2 linked regions of the Xenopus tropicalis genome follow. The protein of the gene in region 2 purifies or fractionates together with the protein of the main gene of each other region. This does not show direct contact. Links are inferred from orthologs where the notes say so. Each region holds a gene or a part of one and is shown on either strand. Other genes may lie near its edges.

Region 1 (6,500 bases), on a different chromosome or scaffold from region 2:
GACAGGCCCAGCCTGCCCCATTCATCCTCCCCCCTGCAACGTGAGTTATGCGCTCTCCTCTTACTTTTTTCTGACGGGTCCCAGCTTCCCCATTCATCGTCTTCTCTGTGATGTCATGCCTCCGCCCTCTTCAATGCAACGTCATCACCGGCCCCTCCTATAAATGATGTCATGCCTGTGCCTTCCTCCATCTTTCTTACGGGCTACATAATTATTGCTCTGTTATCCGCCTTGGTCCCATCCCCAAAGCTCTACTACTTCACTTTTCCAACATTACACACGTTTATAAGCACTTTTTTTTTTTCTTATCAGATTACACAATGTTGGTTGTACAATGGGTGAAAATAGAAAATAAGCAGATATATTGCAGTACAATAATGCAAGGCATGGGTAGAAGTCTTTGCAAGCAGAACTAAGTTCTTGCAGTGGATATGTTCAAAATTATCAAAATAGAAGATAGTAACAGTAAGAAATAAGTGAAGGTACACATAGAGAATGCAAAAGCTCAATCTTCATAAGTTCCCAAGGCGCCCAGATTTTGAGAAAGTGGGGAGTGTAATTACATATCCTAGCAATTCCAGCCTCAAATACCTTATTTGCTTCCACCCTTCATTTAATTTCAGCTAAGGTAGGGGGGTCGCAGCACTTTATTCTATATCACTATTCCAGCGTAGATTTTAGCTATTTGGAATTCCTTGTTCCCTGCTTCAAATATATATTTAACTTATCGGGATCCAGGCTTCGATACTACCCGCAGTCAATGGTATCCAGGCTCTTTTCAGCGATAAGTGGCAGCGAGGCTTAAAAGCCTATTATGTAAGTTGTGTGTGTCTTCGGCATAAATGTATTGAAATCAATACCTTTTAATAAAGCAATCCCTATATAACATATAATGCTCATACAGTGCAGCTAGCGAATAGAGCATTTTCTAACAAAAGGAGACAGTATCCCGATTAAAAGCAGACAGATCTCTTTGCTAGCAGCACTGTATGATCATTACACATCGAACAAGCGCTGCTTTAACATATATAGATTTCAATGCGTTTAAAAAGAGCTTGGATAACATTAAGTGCGAGCGGTACTGGAGGCTTTAGCGCAGTGCTGTCCAACTTCTGTTGTACCGAGGGCCGGAATTTTTCCGACCTACGTGGTGGAGGGCCGATAATGGAAGCCAGTTTTGACTACTCCCCTTTTTGAAACCGCACCCACTTGAAACCACACCCATGTTATCACATGACCATACCCATATTAATGGTTGTAGTACAGCAAAAACTTGCCATACTCTGCCTGCCCTACCCTGCCTGTGTGTGCCATACTCTGCCTTCCCTACCCTGCCTGTGTGTGCCATACTCTGCCTTCCCTACCCTGCCTGTGTGCCATACTTGGCTGGTTTGTGCCATACTTGGCCTGTGTGTGCCATACTCTGCCTGCCCTACCCTGCCTGTGTGTGCCATACTCTGCCTTCCCTACCCTGCCTGCATGTGCCATACTTTCACTGTGTTTGCCATTCTTGGCTGGTTTGTGCCATACTTGGCCTGTGTGTGCCATACTCTGCCTTCCCTACCCTGCCTGTGTGTGCCATACTCTGCCTTCCCTACCCTGCCTGTGTGTGCCATACTCTGCCTTCCCTACCCTGCCTGCGTGTGCCATACTCTGCTTGCCCTATGATGCCTGTGTATATGGCACACACAGGCAGCCTACAGTGACACAATGCTGGCATTGCTCCTACAGTCTGCACAATAACTATATATTAAAAAACTTTTTAATTGCAGTACCACCTCAGTATATGTTCTTTTTGTAGTGTGCAGGGATTATTTGTGGGTTTCTACTGCTCCTGAGGTGTGAACAGGGGAACAATGGGGTGATTACAGCCTGAGCCTGAGGTGTGAACACTGCAGGGGGTGAACAATGCAGAGATTAAAAGGTGTGAACAACACAGGGGATTACATATTTAAACAATACAGCCTGATTACAGCCTGAATCTGAGGTGAGAACCATGCAGGGGGCCAGTTAATCACAGTACTGATACCATTTAAAGCTTACACAAGAGTAAGCCATCAAAGCAGCCAGACAGGTGGGGGGCCACACAGAGGGGGGTCGCGGGCCGCCAGTTGGACAGCACTGCTTTAGCGGTTGGATGGTATTTAAGGAAGGGAATCGGGAATAACACATCCTTCCACCTTGCAAGGAAGGGGTGGTGGGTCGCATAAGAAAGCAAGGTGGATGGAGGACAAAGACTGTGCAGCCGTTAGAATGCAGGCAAGCCGGGTAGATGTCACATGGAGGCTGTTCAATGGAGGAACGCCCAGAGATGACTTGGATAAACGGGGAAGCAGGAATCTGTCAGGACAAACTAAGAGCAGATTGCACAACTTAAATGGCAGGCAGCACAGAGGAGTTCCGATGGGGCAGGGGGGGACCTGTCAGCACATAGCAACAGAAGCCCGACAAGGATTTGGATATTGGAGATTTTAAAGGGGAGGAGAGGGCAGGACGCTCGCCCAACCTTGGTACTGGCACCCAGCCCCCTCTGGCTCCTTACGTGCTTCAAGCAGGATATCGGCACGTCAGGCCCCTTGGCTCTCGTCCTTATACAGAGCGCGGCTAGCCGGGCACGCTATGCACAGGCATGGGGCTATCATTAACCCGAGCCATGCGGAACTTTAACCTTGAAAATCGGGCTCATAGGCTTATTGGCAAGGAGAAGCCGAGGCCGGCGCCCACCCACCCCAAAACAGAGGATGCAGTGAGGGCAACCAAAACACGTGAGTATGGGTGGGAGACTTGTACACACAGCGATATTATATTTGCATCCTATGTACCAGTTATGTAGCTTGTGAACTTTTGTTTTTCGTTATACACAGAAAAATACTTTATAAAATACACATAGTACATATTCTTAAATGTTTACTAGAGCGACTGCAGCTAAGATCAGTTCACTCCGTATGACAAGGTTAGCTTGTGTGTGAGAAAGGCATGCTGGGAACAAAAGTTCTGCACTTCTCATTGGTTAGAGGTCATGACCTATGGGTTAGGTCTCTAATGTGGAACCCTGAAGGGTTGTGCTACTGCCTCATTTATTTTTATTAGTAGTATCGCTTTCCTGTGTTACATTTATAGTTGGATAAATACTAGTCATTGCACAAAGAATCCTTGCATTTGTTGCCTGGCATGGCAGATAGATGTTCTAATTCTGCAGTGTACATTTATTAGAACCAAAAAGTTATTCTGGACTCTTAAAAGCAAGTGCAGCCAGGTACCACAGTCTAAATTATTATGAATCAAAGTAGTCTGTGATTCAACCAGTGCATTCCAGCTCAGTAAACTGACAAATTGGTAGAACAACTCTGATCCCTGAAAATACTTTGAAAAACATTTGCTATGCATTTTGGTGCATTCAGTTGTCTGAGCTTCAGCTGTCAGCAATAGTGATATAAAAGGTGCTGTTGTAGGTATTTCATTACTGGTGCTAGTTTTTTTCAGATAGGGCTACGAAGGGTGTCCTTGTTACCATCAGGGTTGCTAGGTCTAATTTTCAAAACCAGCCAAAATCTGTCACAAAGCTGTTTCAAAAGCAGTTTCAAAATAGCACAATTTACCCAGTCAAATAAAAAAAATATTTATATGTGAAAAATATGCCTTCACTTTGGCCTTACAAGTCTGGAATTGCTACCTGTGCCCACCTTTCTGATACTAGGATATCTGATATTGCTATGCCCTTATGTGCAGGGTACATGCAGGTTATTGTAGTTTTACTTCAACATACGCTGCCAGCTTCAGCTTACAATAAGCCATCCAAGTATCCAGGGAATGGAAGAATTTATTAGTAACAGCACTCTTAAATATAAATCACTAATAAAAGAGGTAGGTCATGCATACCCACCAACACGTAATGGGTGTATTAATTGTCCACCCCCCCCATACCATGCTAAGCACTTCATGGCATACAGTGGGCCCCGAAGCATTTCATGAAAGACGCAGTTGTAGCCTTAACTGCATTCCCCAAACCAGCCATACACCCCTCGCTCTCAGTCTCCTGGCAGCAATGCTTTATATAATGTGGGAGAATGTCATTAGAGCCTCAGTTTGCAAAACTCTGAAATCAAAGACATCAACAGACAATCCAGAACTGTGGGCTGGATGATAAAAAATCAGGGATGTTCCACATAAAGCGTTACAGTATGGAGGTAATGCAGCAAAAGTGGATTCACAGTATGGCATTAACCCTCAGACACGATATATGGCTGTGTTTAAGTTTAACTCTCGGCAACCCCAGGAGGTATAATTTTAGTGGTCAACTGCAGAATCAAATGTTAACCCCCCACATCACATTACAAAGTAGCAGCACATACCAGATGCATCAATGAGAAGTTTGTAATGCAGTCAGGTTAGAACTGAAAGGCTAGAACTGCTGCAAAGAGTAGATAAGTTCTTGCTACACCAGTCAGTCCTGTGCTGAGTATTGTAGTTTTGCATTGACCTTGGCAGTAGGTAAAATGTTAAACAAAAACTACATTACCCTACATACACTGGGGGGGATGGGCTAGGTACACTGCCAGGCTTGTACTTTGGAAACCCTCAACAGCTTAAAGGAGAAAGAAAGGTAAAAACTAAGTAAGCTTTATCAGAAAGGTCTATGTAAATACAGCCATAAGCACTCACAGAAATGCTGCGCTGACTTCTCTGTGAAAAGATTTCTGTAATTCATGTGCCAGAGACATGCAGCTTTCTGCTCTCTGCTTTCTCCTGCTCCCCCCTCCCTCAAGAATGCTAAGAACTCACTCACCCCCCATAGGAATGTGGATCTGAGCCAATCAGCAGGAAGCTGACTCATAGTCTAACTAACTGAGCATGTTCACTTGGTCTGGGTGTCTGTGCAGGAGTGAGGCATTATGGGAACTTTCTTTACACAGCTCAGTGTTTTTCCTTCCGGTTTGGCTTCTGATCATCTGAACAGGTGAAATATGGGGAGACTTAAGGGCACTATTGAGACAACTGAATGTATGCCTGCAGCTTGAGATTAACTCTTTATTAGCCTTTCCTTCTCCTTTTAAAAATAATTTGGTAGTTAAACCAGCAACTCTGCTTACCACTGTATCCTGAAGCTACAGTTTATGACAGAAGTATGTAACTTTTATAGTTTGGGTTTTCATTTGGCTAGGAAAGAGCAGTGCTGTGCATAATCCAATTGGTTACAGATTCCGTCAATCTGTTTTAGGTATTGGGTAGTTTTATTAGAGATAAGATACATTTTCAAAAACTATTAAAGAAAATAAATAAAGACCAGTTGAAAGGTTGTTAAGAAGGTTGCAATATGTTTAGTATGTCTATAACATACTAAAAGTTTACCTTTTAAAGGAAACTGACACGCACAGGCACTTTTTAATCGTGCTAGTAGTGTGTTTGTGTATGTGTTTTCTTTACATTGTATACAATTGTATAGCTTGTGAAATATAGCACATAGTTCAGAATGCATGTCTATTGTAAGATTAGCAGTTTATCCTCTTTAAACAATCTAATGTAACAAATGTGATTATTTATTGCTGATTTTCTTGTATAATATTTAGGGTGGATTTTTTTTTTTTCTTTTTAATTAGATCATCCGGACATTGAGGATAAAATTCGTAACAAAGATAATCTGCTTCTGACAAGACTGAAAGAAGTTTATGTTGACTCCTATGACCCATCTTCTGGGGTAAAGTTATTTAAGCCTTTATTTTTCTCTAGCCAACTTTTTTGAATTTTATTTTGTGTATTTCAAAAACAAATGCCCTTCCAATATACACTTCATCCTTCGGCATGTGCATTTATGATGCATTTTTATATCAGCCTTCCACACATTTTGTTGATTGTAATGCTATGCTGTATGATTTTGTATCCCCCAAACCAAGGGTGCTACATGGTTTCTATAGATACTCCCCAATTTGGTATTCTCCCCTTTCTTGGGCTTTTGCATGCAGAGTTGGCACAAGTTTGTAAATAGCCTGCTAAACACTATATTGGGCCCTGTAACTAAGACCACAATTTTTTTTTACAGGAGGACAGGTCTAAAACTTGTGGAGGAAGTTGGCTTCTAGGTAGTCACATCTTAAACAGTAATTTGGTGTAGAGATTTGTCCTGTATAATTATATCCTTTTGTAGAAATGAGGGAATTATAGCTCTTGTCTATAGCCTCTTCACGTTGGTCTTGGTTTAGGTCAGGAATTTGATCAGTCCATTGGTGGTGTGTGTCATTAAAGTGTTTGCTTATACTTTCTTTTATATTTTGTGTAAACTCTAGATATCAGTTTAGCAAATGTGGGGGAGTAAAAGGTCTACTCTAGTCCCAAGGAAGCCAGGGTGGTAATGAAAGAGTAGTAAATTGCACTTTCACTATATCTTCAGTTCAGGCATGCCTTCCATTTGGTTGGCTGTTTTGTAGGTCTTTATAAGTGGGAAAATTGTGCGTTTGGAGTAAGGTCAATGTTTTTTTTTTTAATGCTGATCCTTACCATATGAA
Region 2 (5,009 bases):
GGACTGCTAGCTTGCAGGAGGCTCTGCTTGGAGTAACACTGAATCTGTGTTTCTAAAACACAGCCAGAAACCAGAACGGGCACCTGCTTTAAGGCCACTGGCAGCAACATCAGAGGGGGTAGTAAGCAACATGTAGCTCAGGAGCCACTGGTTGAGGATCATTGCCATAGACATTCCGCTGTTTGGGCTTTTGTATACTTGAAATGCCAGGGCCTGTTTTGAATCCCAGTCCAGATCTGTAGTACACTTCTCCTGGCATCCCACAAACCCAGATTGTGACCATTACATCACTCCAGCTAGGAAACCCTATTGGGCATGGTCATTTTAGGCTTGTTAGTGCTGCACTTTTTGTTCCCATGTTGCTTTCAGAGGTAGGTTAAAACTGAGAACTTGCTATTTAAAGAAGACATGTTGGATAAATGGAAAAAAAAACTAATTTTGTAGGCAGTTATGAATAACATATGGTGCTGGTTTCACTTTGGGCTAAAAATGAATCCTATCTGTAAAATGGCCCCTTATAGATCCTATAGGTCCTATCAGTTCTCTGTCTGTGTTTCAAATGAAGGGTGGGCGTGCCAATCACAGCTCTGCAGTCACACAAGCAAAGACAAGCTTCTGTTCTCTATCTGGTCAGCCTAGCTGCTGAGAATTCAGCCAGCATGAAGTGGAACAGATGGGCGGGACTAGTGGGGTTTTGGTGGAATTTTTCAATAAATCAGTCCAAAACACAACTTTTTTTTTTAAGCACAATCCTTCTATATCTTAAAGAGTATAATTCACTGGTACATTCTTAATTATTATATATGTTAACTTTAAATGTAGTGTCGGAATACTTTTGGCCACATTCCCTAGATTAGTATTTTAGATTTTATTGTTTCCCAGGAAGCAAAACTGAAACCTGTTATATAAGCCACCTACAAGCAGGACTGCTATTCTTTTGTGATAAGACTGTATGGCCTTATTTATTGCTTGTACAAAGTATGTTCAACACAAGCCCTATTTGTAAAACTAACAATAAAAAGAACATACAGTATAATGCCCTAATTATTTAGAATTGGCTGTTCTGTATCTTTTCAAAAGAAATTCACTGATAAGGTTCTCAACAAAAGATTCCCAGCAATACCAGTATGCAAAAAAACTGAAATGGATGTGAGGTGAAATCGATTTTTTAACAATGATGCACAAAAAGCTATAGTTTCAACGCATGACATCTGCCACTGCACCCACCAGGACAACCAAATACTATATGATCCTTCTGGGCTGTATAGAGTTTGTAGAAATGTCACACTGCTACTTCTTATGCACAAATCTACCCTTATTACTAGATTCTGTATTTCTAAGTTAGTATAGATACTGTGCATCCACATAACCCAGCCAGCTTCAAAATGTATAGTAAAGGACAGGCCTGGTTCAAAAAACTTTCTGCCTAAGTCAATTAGTCTATGAAGATTCATCCAGGTCATGATATACAGTATCTAGTGGAATTAAGTCTAACATCTGACTTTTTTCTTTTACCACTCACCCGAATGGCTTTTTCAGTTTGAACTGAAGAAGCCACTTGGATAAGTGGTGAAACGTTCTCAAGAAAACTCAGAAAAGTCCAGTTGTTTTAGACTTAATTCTACTAGATACTGTCTAATTCAATTAGATTTCCCCAATGGCTTTAGTGGAGGTTTCATTTTACACCCTAAATCCGTCCCATTATTTCTTACACTGGATAGTTCATCAACAGCTGAAGAACATACATGGCCAGAAATCAGTATAAAATGGGGTATTTTGATCAAATATGAATAGATAATCCCACCAGATCTATCTAACTACGCAGCTATGTTCACCTGTATTTAATGTTGCAAGGGAAATTCAAATTTAGTTTTTTTGGTTCGTCATATTAAGAATAAAATTAACATTGTGTAGTATGCATTCAGCCTAATACCAAAAAACACAATGTACCAGTGTTAATTTTGTCTCTCAAATTTAAGTTGGCCTCTATAGGCAGAAATGCTATTTCATACAAAATTAATTACAGTAGAACCCCGATTTCATGTTTCCCATGGGACAGCATCAAAACTGCATTGAACACAGAAAATAGTGAGATAGAAAGTACTGAAAATTCCCCATCCACATGCTGAAATAGTTCAAACAACACATGGACCAGTAAGGATCAATTTAATAATTTCAAAATGTAATGCAAGTTTTGGGATTCACAACATAGAGTGAGTAATTGCTTTAAAGCGCTGTGTAACTTGTTGGTGCTGTAATGAACAAAAATTGATGGCTTTTTTACGGATTAAGGACTGTTGTCATCTTTGCTGAAATCTGGTGCCTTATATTTTCCTTCTTTCTCCAGCTTCTTCTTTTGTTCTTGGATTGCCTGCAATCTCTGTCTCTGTAAGAGTAACAAAATAAAGTAAGAAGGCTTTTTAAAGGCCAGGGACACTCTTGGGTAATTTGGAACTTCTGCTTGGATTCTGAGTGATTATTTATACAACACTATCTGTCATATTATGTTTGGGAGTATACCCATTTGGGATTTTATTTTTTATTAAAAATATATACTTCACTATCCAGTTCTGCTGTTTTATTCTGAACATTTTGGAGACTTCATGTATTTGTTTGGCGCATATAACTTGTACATCTTGTGAAAGATTTATTATCTTAGAAATTCTGCCCAGGAAAATTATTTTGCTCTTAAACACTCTTAACATCTTTTGGGAAAGTGAAGTATGGGAGCCAAAAGTGAGCTTTACCTCACTGCTGGCTTAGCGCTAATCTCCACACTACAATTATGTGAAAGCATTAACATTATCTTTCATCTAACCTTAATCAGCATACTGGATATGGATACTACAGACACACAAGCTCAACAACTCAAACAGTATAATAAACACCTACTCACCAATTTGTTTCTGCTCATGCACTCATAGAAGTCTTCATATTCCAACCTGCATTCCTTTCGTGCTCGGATCTGTCCAATTCCATGGGAGCATTCCACCCACTCTTTCTCAAATGCCTGGCATGAAGAAACCCAGCGATATGGTTGCTGTGAGCTCTGCAGTAACATCCATTTATCTATGTTGATTCCAAGTTTACTCTGGACGTCAATAAACGGCATGCCTATAGGGAAAGATCAGCTGGAATTAGCAAATTTGTAATGAATACCAACTATTTCTTGCCCAGAATAACAGATTTGTTTACCTGTTGTTACACCCTTTCCCCTTCCAGAGCCAGACACACTGCATCTTCTCTACAGTGTTAGTGAAATATCATATATGGCTATACCTTTGCATACATAACTAAGACTTGTGACTAATTTCATGAAAGCAAATGTCAGCTAAAAAAAAATGCTTCTTCATGTTGCTGGCTAGCTCTTCTTGGTGTTCCTTAAATGTTGCTAAAGAATTTCTAGTTTCTAGTTGCTGGTAAAAATGTTTTACAAAACTTTCCGTGAAGCAGGTACAATAAGGCCAGCTGATGTACTGTAAATTCAACTATCAGTAACAAGATCCTGGAATTTACCCAGAGAAAGTCAACTCCCAGGGTCCAACTGCATGCTGACTATATGAACTGATGTAAAGCAGAATATACAGCACTGGTGTGCAAGTCAGTACTGATGTTCCAACTATAACACAACAAAAGAATGGACAGGTAATAACAAGCACACTCATTTTCTGTTTTCAAAACAAATCAGAAGTCCACTGAAAAGCCCTCTGTATAAACAAACCCCTGTCTTTCCCCAACAGCAGCATGTTGGGCAACGCAATAGAGTTACATTCAACACTAATAAAAACAGATCATCATGCATCTAAAAGTTGCGACATTTTGCGAAACAGTCGTAATGGCTACGAAAAAGTCGCGTCAATTTACGAAAAAATCGCAAAATACCGATCATTACGAAAAAAACGCATTCGGACGGTTCGTGGATTAGTAAATCAGCCCCTAAGTGTCTCTTTAATCATTTATTTAAACTGCACAATATCATACACACAAATATCTTGTATATTACAAAAACCCATCAACAAAAATAAATATTAGAAACATGTATTGTACATATAAATATATAATGTAGGAGACAATTCATTTGTGAAGGAAGGCTTGGTTATTGGGTATATTACTTAATATAAGCAGTTGAATAGAATGCAAATTCAGTTAAAAAGAAAAAGCATCTGCATAACCTGCAAGCTTAGTATGTAGTGACAGTCTAATAGTTTGCTAGTGGACAACCTTTAGTTTGCTTGTAGCCCCTGTAGACTTATTACATTACCAGCAACAACAGTCATTTGCAGACTATTATCAAAGCACAGATCAACCAGGGCTGCGTGCATCTCTCCATCTCTCAAATGAGCATTATGCGACTGTGCTTGACCTGGGAAACATTAATCCACTGCGATGCATGTAAAGACATTGAGATGCCTGTATTCTTGCGACTCTGTTTAACTAATCATACAGCATTCACCTCCATCACTTGCTGCAAATCACAACCATACTTTCAAACCAACGTGCTTCACTGTCCACACCGCTCCACCAAGGAGTCACAGGAATGCCATTATACAATAACCAAGCCTTGTTTCACTGATTTTTTTTTTGTTTATTTTTTTTTATTGTTTATGGGGTTTTGTAAATGATGTGACAGCCAACATAACTGTTTGTTTATAATATGATATATTTTCTAAACTAGTGCAGTTTTATAAATCAATAAATAATAAAATAATTCAGGGATTAAATGGGATTTTTGCAGTTCTGCTTCGGTGTGACTATGCACTACATTTAGGTTTTTGTATCATTGAAATGACAGCTTTAGATAATACAAAGTAATGGGCAACACAGACATTACTGAACACCTTTTTTACTTTAAAGTAGAACTTTCCTAAACATGGCCCTACTCAGCCAAAAATCAATTGTGGAGGAGTATTACTTCAATTAAAGGGCAATCACTGTCTTGCCCTACTATAACTGCTATCCACCATTCTGCCACCTCCTGGTAGTGTCACTATGCAGGGAACACATATTGG

The links. The genes of interacting proteins can lie anywhere in the genome.
Region 1: the proteins of ndufs5 (region 2) and ndufaf4 purify together in Homo sapiens (co-immunoprecipitation; 3 studies listed by BioGRID and IntAct, with this or other methods). This does not show direct contact. The link is inferred for Xenopus tropicalis from reciprocal best matches to the Homo sapiens genes NDUFS5 and NDUFAF4.

What each region holds. Positions count from the first base shown.
Region 1 is NC_030681.2:88,490,539-88,497,038, reverse strand, and holds the start of ndufaf4 (NADH dehydrogenase [ubiquinone] 1 alpha subcomplex assembly factor 4), read left to right. Parts: upstream 1-2,621; 5' UTR 2,622-2,629; coding exon 2,630-2,765; intron 2,766-5,597; coding exon 5,598-5,695; intron 5,696-6,500. UniProt on the Homo sapiens protein: Involved in the assembly of mitochondrial NADH:ubiquinone oxidoreductase complex (complex I). May be involved in cell proliferation and survival of hormone-dependent tumor cells. May be a regulator of breast tumor cell invasion.
Region 2 is NC_030678.2:90,459,952-90,464,960, reverse strand, and holds ndufs5 (NADH dehydrogenase [ubiquinone] iron-sulfur protein 5), read right to left. Parts: upstream 3,117-5,009; 5' UTR 3,115-3,116; coding exon of another isoform or gene 3,113-3,114; coding exon 2,897-3,112; intron 2,387-2,896; coding exon 2,288-2,386; 3' UTR 2,153-2,287; downstream 1-2,152. UniProt on the Homo sapiens protein: Accessory subunit of the mitochondrial membrane respiratory chain NADH dehydrogenase (Complex I), that is believed not to be involved in catalysis. Complex I functions in the transfer of electrons from NADH to the respiratory chain.